Tribolium castaneum: one gene and its partners. The protein of the gene in region 1 purifies or fractionates together with the protein of each later gene. This does not show direct contact. Links are inferred from orthologs where the notes say so. Each region holds a gene or a part of one and is shown on either strand. Other genes may lie near its edges.

Region 1 (3,190 bases):
TAATTTTTTTATAATTATTTAGACTTCTGAAGTGATTCTTTATAATGCACTAAACTTGGAACTCGCCAGTTTTGAGACATTCTGTATATTATGTATAATGCATTAACATCTAATCTGCTATAAAACAGTTCAAAAGACGTGCAGTGCAAAAATTACGTAATAAAAAAATATAGTTTTAAGTACTTCATAAATTCACTGATATCTCTAATTATCATTATTCGTTTTATGTTAATTGTTTGACGTAGTCATTAATCTGCGTAGTAACACCTAATGCTTGCCAATAAATTTATTTATTGAAATTAATCTGTAATTAATGGGATTCCAATGATTTTTTTAATTAGAATACTTATTTCAAAAGTACTTTTTGGACTTTCGCGCAGCATTTATTTTTTTTGACGTCCGTATTTGCTGCATTTGGAGATTACTGTAGTCAAAAAAAATGTACCGCCTTAATTTTATGGTTTTACGATATTACGAAGCAATCTTTCAAAATTTTTCCAAACGTTTAATGAAACGAAATTAATTATTGTGAAATGTCGGTATTTAATTTTCCCGCTTATCAGTTATCAATTTTGTAGGGTATGCAAAAAATACTCGTAGCTTCGATAGATTCTTTTATTAATAAACAAGTATTACAAATTAATTTTTGGGGGTATTGTACACTGGCTAGGGTTGGTATCACTGCCGATTCTCTTGGGGATTCACCTCCTGGTTCTGGTTGCCCCAATCGAACCCCCCGGGCCGCTCCTCAGGAGGCGGGGCATAGTCCGGGTCTTCAGGTATTTCGTCAAATAGCGTACGCCTGCAAGAATCTATTAAAACTAACCCGAAAAACGCCCAATCCTTACATAAAATGCGGCGTTTTAAGTATCCTAAAACCCCCTCTTTGGTTTGGAAAAACATCCTCTATAAAATAATAAATATGTCCCACGGCTATCCCCATCAAGTCGACATAGACCGCATTTCCCAACAAGAGCGAGAAGCCCAGTAAAACCCAAGGCAAGTAAGGAGCTTGGAAGTTCAAAAGGCCGAAAAAGTTCATCCTAACGTACGGATTGCGCCGCGACCACACGTAAACCAGCATTATTGTGAACGCTTGTCCCAGAAATAATAAGTTAACAAAGAACGCAAAAATCTAGTCGGCGTTAAGGCCAGCTTTTGACGTTAAAAACGGCGCGCTTTTTGAAAGGATACAATCATACACACGCCCCCGAACAGGAACATCATCACAAAGTCGGCCGTCCTGTTCCGGAACGAGCCCTCCTCAAGCATCCTACAGTACCTATAAGTGAAAATCATGTTGAAGAAGAAATTGAAACCGAACGTTCCAAAAAATAGGAATGTGGTGACTAGCCGCCATAACTGCCCCTGTTTCAGGATCAGGATGGGGTTGAAGTACAGCTGGAAGGGCGACGCCAGTTCCAATTGCTTGAATGAAACAAATTTTAACAAAAAACCCCCCAAAAAAATATAACTTACAACAGCCAGCGTTGTTATCACACATGCCGTTGTGTACGCCCGGGTCACGGGGGGCATGTGCAGGTATTCGTTTCGTAACGTCTGATAAGCCATTTTCGGGCTAACTATCACGACATGTCCATTTTAAGCCAAAAATCAGATTTTGAAAGCCACATCAGTGCTTGAAATTATCTTGTCAAAATTTGACATTGTTGACATTTCTCTCCCGGCGCTAGTAACTTCGTTTCGGCACGATTGGTACCCAAGTCGTAAATTCGGCGAAATTAATAAATTCGTTTCAAATAAACAAATCCCCGATGGTCTATTTCAGAAAAATTCCGTGTTTACACTTCCAATTGTGCCTTTGTTTAACTAAAAATGAGCCTGGTTTGTTTAAGTTGGCGGGACTGTGCGCACGCGCTACGTTTTGTTTAACCATACTGTCAAATTTTTCCAAAAAATAAAACCATTTTTTGCGATGGTTTTGACTAAAGAATACCGAATTTGTATGCCGATTACGGTCGAAGAGGTGAGTTGTGGTCATTTAGTGCTTTACTTGACTTGGTTTTATGAAAGTATCAAGTGGGGCAACTGTACATGATCGCGAGGCACAGTTTGGAGCAGTCGGGGGATGGCGAAGGGGTTGAAGTGGTTGAAAATCGGGAAATTGACGACCCGGAGCATGGCAAAGGCCAGTTTACCGAAAAAAGAATTCACTTATCAAGGTTTGATTAAGAATTAGCGAATTAGAGCGTTAGGTAATGAGTTTTTGTAGCCGTTTGCCTTACTGGGTGCAGGCCATTATACCTAAGATATTTTACGTGACGGAGAAAGCGTGGAATTATTACCCGTACACTATCACAGAATATACGGTACGGCCCAAATATACCGGGTGTTTCGGTTTTTTATGCGCACCTTTGTAACTTTTTTATTTTTGTAAAAAAGTGTACAAGTCGTTTATATTTTTGGTTGGATTGACAAAATATATTGAATAAAATCATCAAGTTGGCTGTATGGTGACATTCGTCAAAACGGTGACTGTCAATTTTTTTTCATTGGTTCCTTGTATAATTTTTTGCACCATTATTTATAATTTTAAACATGTGACAAAGAATTGGTAAATAATTAAAAAAATATAGATTATTTTAAATAAAAAAATATATATTATATACTTTTATTTACTAACTTAAACAAAATACTATTTTTTTGGCACTCCTTTTATAATAAATTCATGTCTACGGATATCTAAAGGTTAGGATATAAAACAGCCTACTAATAAAACGTTTCTGTCCTCGATAGTTCCGTTAATGACGCCATTATTGCATTGTAAAGTCAATTTATGCCTAAACCGTTAAAAATAGAAATATGGTATTTTACTTTATTTAATAAAAAAATTACAAGGGTTAAATTCCCAAACTGAAACACCCGGTATATTTTTTATATATTTTTTATTATTTATTTGTAGTGCTCATTTATTCCACGTTTTCACATTGAAATTAAAACCAAATATGAGAATAACAACGGCAGTACCGAAAACGTGAGTCAAAAAATAAATTGCAATTATTTTTTTTAAATAAAAAAATTTAGTGTCTTAATTTAACTCCTGAACAACTTGCCGAACGCCTAGTCGACCACATTGACATAGCCTACGATGAAGTGAGCCCCAAACACTACAAAGAGGAAGAGGACCCGCGTTTTTTCCAGTCGAAAAAAACGCAAAGGGGGCCCCTGG
Region 2 (4,252 bases), on another chromosome or scaffold:
ATTGCTTTCACAGGACCTAACTAGACGTTATCATTCATTTTAAATTCTGTTATTTGTAAAATGCTCTTTTAAAGGTGAAGGTTAAATAAAAATGTTAAACATTACAAATCCAATCTCATCTTTTCTATCCCTCTTTATTTCAAGTTAGCTATAAAGGTGAATCTGGGTTTAAATTACCTCCAGATATTTTGAAACAGCTCAGGTTCATTCTTAATTTGAATCTCATTATATTATTTTGAATTTATTTTTACTTCACAAACGAATAAAATAATAATATTTAGTATTTGAATTCCAAGATATTATTTTTTAAACTATGTACCTTACGAAAAAACAAATTAGTGTACACTATCAAGTACTTGAATGTTTTCGAAGTCATTTTGATTATTGAGTTACTCAAAAAAATATTCAAATGGCACCTTCCTACGGCGATTTTTTTTTTGGTAAGAGATTCTGCTCTATACATAACTTCTACTTTAATAAAATTAATTTTAAACCATTTTAATAAATTATTAAAATTGCGGTTCGAACTCATTACGAAGATTTTTCAACTTTGAATCCATAGGATACAACCACTTCGGCCAAGTTTTTAAAAGTCCCTATTTCCCATCGTTTTTTCCTAATCAAAATTTTCCAAAATAATTATGTTACTCATTAGTAAGTGAAATCCCAAAATATTTTCGCTCAATTAAATTATTTATAATTCAAATCTCTATTGTTTTGCTACTTTGGTACTCTACAGGGTGTCGGCGAATTTCGAGTTCAGAGTGTTGTAAAGAAGCACTTTACTAATCCAAATATAGAAAAAAATTAAAATTGAGGGATTCCGCACAAAGTTACATTGGTTTGAATTAATCTTAGAATTACGTTTTCTTCAAATGCAGGCAAAAAATGTTAGTGTTTATTGTTTATTTGTTTATTCATGGTGTAGTGTATAGATAATTGTAGAGAATAATAATATAAAACATTTTTTTAATTAGCTTTATTGCCGTTCCATTTTTAAGAAAAACTACTAAAAAAATAATGACCAAAATAAAGTTAACTTTTAAAGAAATTGTTTTCCATTATTGTCCACTATCATCTATATCATAAATAACAATAAACACTGAAATTTTTTGCCTGCAATAAAGTGCTCTTGAAGTGCACATTTCGAACCAATGGTAATGGTATGTAGGGGCAACCAATTATACAAGAAGCATGAATTGTGAGTAGCCGACATTTGATTAAAAAGTTGTTCAAACACCATCATTTAAGGATAAACAGGTGTTTGGAGTATTTTAATGATAAAAGTGGATAAGACATAAGAAAGGGACGAGGCTTATGCTCTGAAATATATAAATTCGTTTAAAATTCGCCCTTCCCCTTACAGGGCCCTGTTTTATCCGGATATTTGACAGGTGCATCAGTGGCGGCCCGACCAGCTGGCGCACCACATGATCAATACATGTATAAAATTAACCATCACGTACCAGTGTGTAATCAAAAGTAACGTGGCCCCAAGCGCACCACATCTCCAGTGACAAATCGTTCGCGGCCGCGACTCCACACTATGTCATCGTCGCGCCCCAATTCCGCTTTGACAAGCCGCACAAGAGTCGCGTTGTAATTTGTGACATATCGTGTTTGTAAACAGTGACAATATGCCAGTGATTTTACTCGACCGGTTGCCTGTGCCCAATCTGCGGATGTACTCCGCCGGCAGTGTCTTGGCCCTTTCGGCGTGCGTCTACTACGCCACGCAGGTGATCAAGGACCCCGACTGGGGGGCCGTCGCCGAAGACATCAAAGACTCCAACAGAAGTAACGCCTCGGTGCCGCTTGGCCGGTCCATGGGGCAGTTTGTCTCCGACGTGTTCAGTGTTATGATAAGGGAGCCCATCTGCGTGTGGGTGAGTGCCGGCTGATGCTCCCGGATTCTTCCGGATTACCGGAAATGTGGCGCAATCTTGGGATAACATTACCGCAAATTGCGTTCCGCGAAACGAAAAGAACTGACCGGCTAACGACACAACAAATGCACTTTTTTCTTCCGGTAATCCGGCTCTGGAATAGTCGTGTGGTCACTTTATTAAATTTTAGTCAAAATCGGATCAATTCCTCATTTTTAATTAATTCTTTACGCACCAAAGCGTTACTGAACAAGTCCCGTTATCCAACGGCTTCTTAAATTGTTAATGATTCGAATTACCGAAGCGTCATAAATCATTATTTTGAATAAAGTATTCCAAGTCTCCGATCTCATCATCGAGTCCGGGCTTGCTCATATTTTATTCGTGATTTTCTAAGATTTGTTCAATCATTCGTGAGAGATCCAGATTTTCGATTGAATTTTTCACAAATGTGCCTCGGCTGGAAAAGGTCATGTCGCAGCTTAAATTCCGCAATGCAATGCCAACAATTCACATTATTCAGTCAGACTTTAATAAAAATATCGGAAACGGCTGCTTCTCTTCCTACGCAAGTAATTTAAATGTTTTGTTCATTGACCTGTTTCAAAACAAAAGACTCGTAATTGTCTACAGACGTCAAAAACAAATGTTTGATTTAATTATTTTTTATTGTCTGCAAAAAGTGATTCTCGTAGGGGAGGGTGGAGCATAAAGGTGCCTGAAAATGGGTTTAGTATGCCACGAAACAATCGAGAAAGTCAGCCTTCTTGATTTCTATTTGCCTTAGAATATTTCATTGACGCCCGGTATATTTTTTGCCCATTTTATTGCTCAGTCGGTATTTCACACAATTCCACAATCGCTTGAAAGTTTTTCTAATAACAATCATTTGCAATTACTAAATTGAGGTTTTGACATGCAATGTGCCGTTTTATTCTTTTTGAAAGCAAGGCTTCAACTTTTCCGAAACTCGTTTCGTTGTAATAAAATCGATTTTGTCAACTTTCAAGGTGATTTGGGGTAGGTTGGGTTTATTTCTTTAGTTAGGAAGTATAGATAAAGGAGTGAAGTGTAATTAATTAATGTATGCACAAGGCCAAATAGTTACTAATTGGAAATTGTTCCCAATACGATTTTTTGAATATTGTTTTCCCGTTATTAGTGTCAGATGAAGCCATACACGTGCCGAAGTCGCTTCCAGGTCATAAACGTTGCATCAGATGAATGTGATAGCACCATAAATAAGAATAATATCTATTATTCTCACTTCAAATTCTGACAAATCTGTTTTAATCGAAGGAAATTTATTTTCAATGGTAGGAGTCTTCCTACGATTTTTCGAGAGACAATGACAAAATTTTATAAAGAGTTTCATTACTGATTGTTCATTGCTGTGGTGCGTTTGAGAAAATTGTGAAACATGGAAATAGACAAGTGGAGGGTTATAATTCCCCGAAAGTTCTTAAAAAAGGTCCTAAAGGTAATAAAAACAAAATTGTGAAACTGTGTTTACAAGAGAAAATTTTGTTAGTCCGACTTTAAGATTGTTTGGAATAAATAGTAAACAAATTTATCAACAGTTGTAGTACAAATGTAAACCATTACAAAGTGTAGAGTTACATCAACTTTCGGTCCACTGAATGATAAAACCAACTCGCGATTTAAATCTAATTAAAACCAGTCTGTAATCTTTTAGCAAATTTCTTGTTAATCGTCGCTTTCATCGAGCTCTTATCAGTTATTGTTTCGGGTAGCAACTCGAATCCTTGAATTTTTTAAACATTTGGGTGCCGTTTTATTTTTGGCAACTTTCCGTTCGGTTTTTAAAATTATTTTTAAGTTGAGATTAAACCGGACCTCTTGTCCTTCAAAGCATGCGAAGCGAGAATGTTGTTTTCGAATTAATTGACCACTCAGACGTTTAAAAAATTTAGTGGCACTATGTGCTCTGTCCAAGTCTGAATCATGGAACAAAGTACCGTAGGCGGTTAGATTCTCTTATCAATGACTCACAAATTATATGCTGATATCTATTGTTAACCAGGTATAATAAAATAACAGAAATTACGAGGTCTTCAATGCGCACTTTGTGAAAAAAACTGACGTGGCTTATTATTTGTGGATTGATTTTATGAGTTGTATTAAAACTTGATTTGTAATTATATAACTGGTAAAAATTGGAGGAAATGAAAGGTTCCAAGGTTGAAATATTTAAGTCATGTTTTAGTGCATTTTTTATCGAGGAAAAAATTTGCTCGATGTTATTCTTATATCGATCGTTTCTAAAGACACGTCATTGTTGTGTGCGAGTAATTACCAAGAGAATTGTTTAATTTATTCATATTTTAATTCTACATAATAAAACG
Region 3 (4,233 bases), about 9.3 Mb from region 1:
AAAACTGAAGCTGCGAACTGCTACATAATACCTAATATAAAAATTGAACTAAAATACAATGACTTCACTTTCGCTTGGCTTCACCTAAAATGTTGAACATTTTTTGATAACATGACTAAAGATACACAAAAATGTAATGAGACACAATTAACATCACATATTTAAAGACGCACCCACCTTTTCGTCACTACAAATTAGAGCACCTTAAACTGTCTTTAAACTATTGAAAATAAAGGTATAACGTCTAATAAAAGTCAGAACTAATTTGAGTTTAACTCTAATAAGGGTCGGATTATAGAAATCGAATAAAAACTTAATCCAAGATTAATCTAATTCACATAAAGTTTACTTTGCAGTGAGCGTCAATTTAAGGACAAATTTGATCACAATTAAAGGTTCTGTAAACTAACCATAATATACAAGGTGAGTCCCCTAAAAGTATGTAAATAATGCATGTGAATGTTGGCAGACTTTTTCTACAATTCCTTACAGTTGTTTCTCGTGTATTTTTCATTATCTCAAGCCATTGTCATTATACAGGGTGATTCAAAAGTACCGGAAAATCTCTCGGGTGCTGATAAAGAACATCAAACTGAATTAAAAGTTCCTATGACAAAAAATTGTTTAAGCCTTTTTTCACAAGATATAGCTCTTCAAAGTAAAATTTTTAAGTTATGTTTTTGGTGGTTCAGATCATATTTTTTGACTTTAGTTAGATCAACAATTAATGTCTTATGGGAAACAAAAACAACAAATTGATACCGTTGCTAAGGAAAACAAATTAAACAATACATCAAAATTAAGTTGCTTGGAAAAAATCTGACTATCCACCACCCTGTATTAATGTATCCTTTACTTAACTGTTTATTTAATGTGGTAAAACATTCAAAGCCAAAATTTCGTAAGGCATTTATTAAACTTGTTATTGTATGATGCTTTACACCTGACCCTCAAAAAAAAGATCCTTAGTTTCATTTTACGTTATAATAAATCGTTTTAATTTTTATGAAAAATATTTAATTCCTAACAGAAGTATTCAGAACCAAAATACCTAACTACATTAATTAATTTAAATATTAATTAAATGAAATTTTATTATTGTAAAAAATACACAAAAAATACGTAAAAAAATGGCGCTATAAAATTACTAGTTTCTTAGTTTTTAATTCTGACTGGAACGGCGCCATCGAGTGATAATAACCATCACTATACCTTGTCAAATAAAAAATCTACTTTTTAATTTGATAACGTTAAATGCAAATTTTGCGTGTTTACCATTTTACACGACACAATTATTTTGCCAAATGAAGCGTCAACTGAGTAAATTACCACACAAATGCAAAAAACTACTAACACACTCACCTTGTATAAATTTTAACATAATACCAATTTAAATTCTTGAAAAGATGCAATATAAATTACAGAAAAATAGTATAAGTATAGTATAAATTACACAAAAAAAGTTTTATAAGTCTATAAGCACGAAATGTTTTAGAGCACGACGAAAGACTGCTCCAATAGAATAAGTGCCACAATTAAGTCTTAACGAGTGTAATATACTATTTTTTCTGCTTTCTATTTTTGTGTTTGTGTTTAGTTTAACTTATCAAAAATCTGTCCAAACTATTTCCTCTTAATTTTGTCAATTATTCAGGCTTTATCAATAAACGACTTGATGCTGTTGACAAATCACACACTAAATTACAGTGATGACTGATGACATCCAGCTCAGCACTGCCAATACAACTCCTAAAAACTTACTAAAAGGAGTTGCACAAAAGTTCTCTTTGTGAAACTATGAATATTTTGTGAACCAAAGTAGAAAAAATATATTTTAAACAATTAGATTTCTGATCGAAGAGTAGGAGACTTAAAATTAAGTTGGCAACACTATAATAGAGGATCAATGTACTTGATTCACTTTTTTCAAGAAAAACGCCTCCAAAAAAAAATTGTATTTAGTTTAACAAATGGTAACAGTGACTTTGATTGTATGTATGTACATTTATTTAAATACTTGCATCTGTTATGCAATGTTGCCAACTTGATTTCAAAAAACAAGTCCAGTGTAACTATAAATTTAATTGGCGTAAGTTACCTGCAAAACAAGTCAGCATCGTTGTGGTCTTCTTTATGCAAATAAACTAAAAGGAACCGTAACTCTCGTTTAGCATCATTAAGGGCATGCGTGAAAGTTCCCTGGTAAAAAACTGGATGGCAATCTCCATACTTCTCCTGGTAAAGATTAATAAACCCAACAACATCATCTAGCGGATTAGTCGCTAAAACAACCCCCAATTACGCCAAAAAACACCTCAATAAACCCTCCCTTACGCCTTTCGGGCTCGAACCGAATCATCCTCCTCCCCAATTGAAACAGGGCCAAAATGGTACTATAGCAAATATTGTAGAAAAAATTAAACATAGCTTTGGCAAAACCCAGAATGCCGCCACCGCCCCCATCCCGAGGCATCGAATAGTAAATGTGTTGCCCCAAAAGGTCGCTCACAACCGCCGGCGGTCTGCTCTCCGTGGCGTAAATCGAAGGTCTGCCCTCTCTGATATTGAGCTGCTCCTGGACGGCCACCTCCAGGTTCCACTGGTGCCTCTGCAGCACGTCGCGGCATATCGTCATGTCGTCGATGCCGGTGAGGTCTTGCAGCTGTAATACTTTCTCGGTTTGCTCGCTCGTGAGCCCCAAACCAGCGTTGTCTCCGAGGTAATTCATTGTGAAAACACAGCGCGGCCGGGATAATCACATGTGCACATAAAAACGTGGAATTTTTAGATACGGTGCGGTGTCACACTGCATAAATTACAAATGCGTGAATTGATACACTTATTGAGCATTACACTTATTTTCGAAACGTCACTTTGTCTTGAAAGTTTCCACAGAAAATTGGGGGAGTCTCGGCGCTACCGGTGAGCGTTGGCAGCACTGCGCGAGTGTTTTTCGAATTTATTAAATTTTGAATCTTCCCAATTGTCCCAAATCCCCTTTTACCAACGTAAAACACCCCATATTTCAGGTAATTCGACTAGTTAATTATATTGACGGTTTTAATGACATGAGTATTGCTGGTTGCCTAATAACTGTTTCAAAAGTATAAAAACACCAACGTCGCATTTTTTCTCAAAAAATATTAGTTGTTTCAAATCTATAAAAACGCCAACGTCGCATTTTACCAAATTCTTTTTTTAAATAAGCTTGACAAAATTTCAAAACAGTTATGTATTAATGATTAGATCTCTCATTGAAAGTGTTAATACATTTCCTATTATTATGTGCATGAATAATTTATAGCAGCTAATTTTGAAAGAATTTTGAGACAGCTAATAGCTGTTGTAAATTATTCACGCACTTCAAAAAAATAATGTAGTTTATAGTTTCAATAAGAGATCTAATCATTAATAAGATAATAAGTATTTTATAATTTTATCAATCTTATTTAAAAAAATTATTTGGTAAGATGCGACGTTGGCGTTTTTATAGTTTTTAAACAGCTAATACATTATGGGATTCAAATTAAACTATATGCAAATTAATATTATTTAACACTAAAAATTAAATATTAGTTTTGCTCCAATTGTTCTATAATTTTAGTTTTGAATTTTTAATTCCTAATTTTCTCTGCGTGCACGCCTATCAACGCGGCTCAATGTTAGCCAATTGCAACCTGATATGGTGATTTCGATGAATTCAAATTTCATTGATCAAGTAAAGAATAGTTAAATATAGTTAATTTTTTTTTTATATAATCAACTGTCAGTGTCACAATTTTGTTAAAGACCAGACTATATCACCCTGTGCATATGTAGAAAAACATTATTTAAAGTATTCTTTTACATGAATCATCAGACCAAATAAACAATAATTATTATAATTATAAGAATACTATAAGCACCTACTGGAGAAAATCCATTTTGAGAATTACCAGTCTACTTTGTAGAATGTCAAATTTTGTACATACAGGCTGTCTATTTTTCAAACTCCACCAGGGTATCTCAATTATTATAAGAGATACGTGGTCGGTTGCGCATTTTTATGCTGAACAATTATCGGAAGGAAAATTTTATGCGTCATTTTTAGTTTCTGAATTATTCAGAAAAACCACAAACTTGTAAATTTTGTTTTTAATTTTTCAAATGAAAACTAGAAGAACTACATTCGGTTCACTTTCATAAAAATCATTATGATGGAAATTGGGTACTCTTAGCATTAAGTTTTATATG

The links. The genes of interacting proteins can lie anywhere in the genome.
Region 2: the proteins of Der-2 (region 1) and E3 ubiquitin-protein ligase AMFR purify together in Homo sapiens (affinity purification with western blotting; 4 studies listed by BioGRID and IntAct, with this or other methods). This does not show direct contact. The link is inferred for Tribolium castaneum from reciprocal best matches to the Homo sapiens genes DERL2 and AMFR.
Region 3: the proteins of Der-2 (region 1) and Faf2 purify together in Homo sapiens (affinity purification with mass spectrometry; 5 studies listed by BioGRID and IntAct, counting the BioPlex papers as one, with this or other methods). This does not show direct contact. The link is inferred for Tribolium castaneum from reciprocal best matches to the Homo sapiens genes DERL2 and FAF2.

The regions. Positions count from the first base shown.
Region 1 is NC_087399.1:2,163,941-2,167,130, forward strand, and holds Der-2 (derlin-2), read right to left. Parts: upstream 1,715-3,190; 5' UTR 1,573-1,714; coding exon 1,480-1,572; intron 1,429-1,479; coding exon 1,195-1,428; intron 1,136-1,194; coding exon 849-1,135; intron 803-848; coding exon 679-802; 3' UTR 602-678; downstream 1-601. Other genes in the region: rdgBbeta (cytoplasmic phosphatidylinositol transfer protein 1), read left to right, coding at 1,937-1,987, 2,035-2,183, 2,234-2,330, 2,924-2,995, 3,046-3,190.
Region 2 is NC_087396.1:17,610,689-17,614,940, forward strand, and holds the start of E3 ubiquitin-protein ligase AMFR, read left to right. Parts: upstream 1-1,373; 5' UTR 1,374-1,637; coding exon 1,638-1,886; intron 1,887-3,271; exon of another isoform or gene 3,272-3,306; coding exon of another isoform or gene 3,307-3,366; intron 3,367-4,252. UniProt on the Homo sapiens protein: E3 ubiquitin-protein ligase that mediates the polyubiquitination of lysine and cysteine residues on target proteins, such as CD3D, CYP3A4, CFTR, INSIG1, SOAT2/ACAT2 and APOB for proteasomal degradation.
Region 3 is NC_087399.1:11,512,372-11,516,604, reverse strand, and holds the start of Faf2 (FAS-associated factor 2), read right to left. Parts: upstream 2,880-4,233; 5' UTR 2,729-2,879; coding exon 2,335-2,728; intron 2,283-2,334; coding exon 2,099-2,282; intron 1-2,098. UniProt on the Homo sapiens protein: Plays an important role in endoplasmic reticulum-associated degradation (ERAD) that mediates ubiquitin-dependent degradation of misfolded endoplasmic reticulum proteins.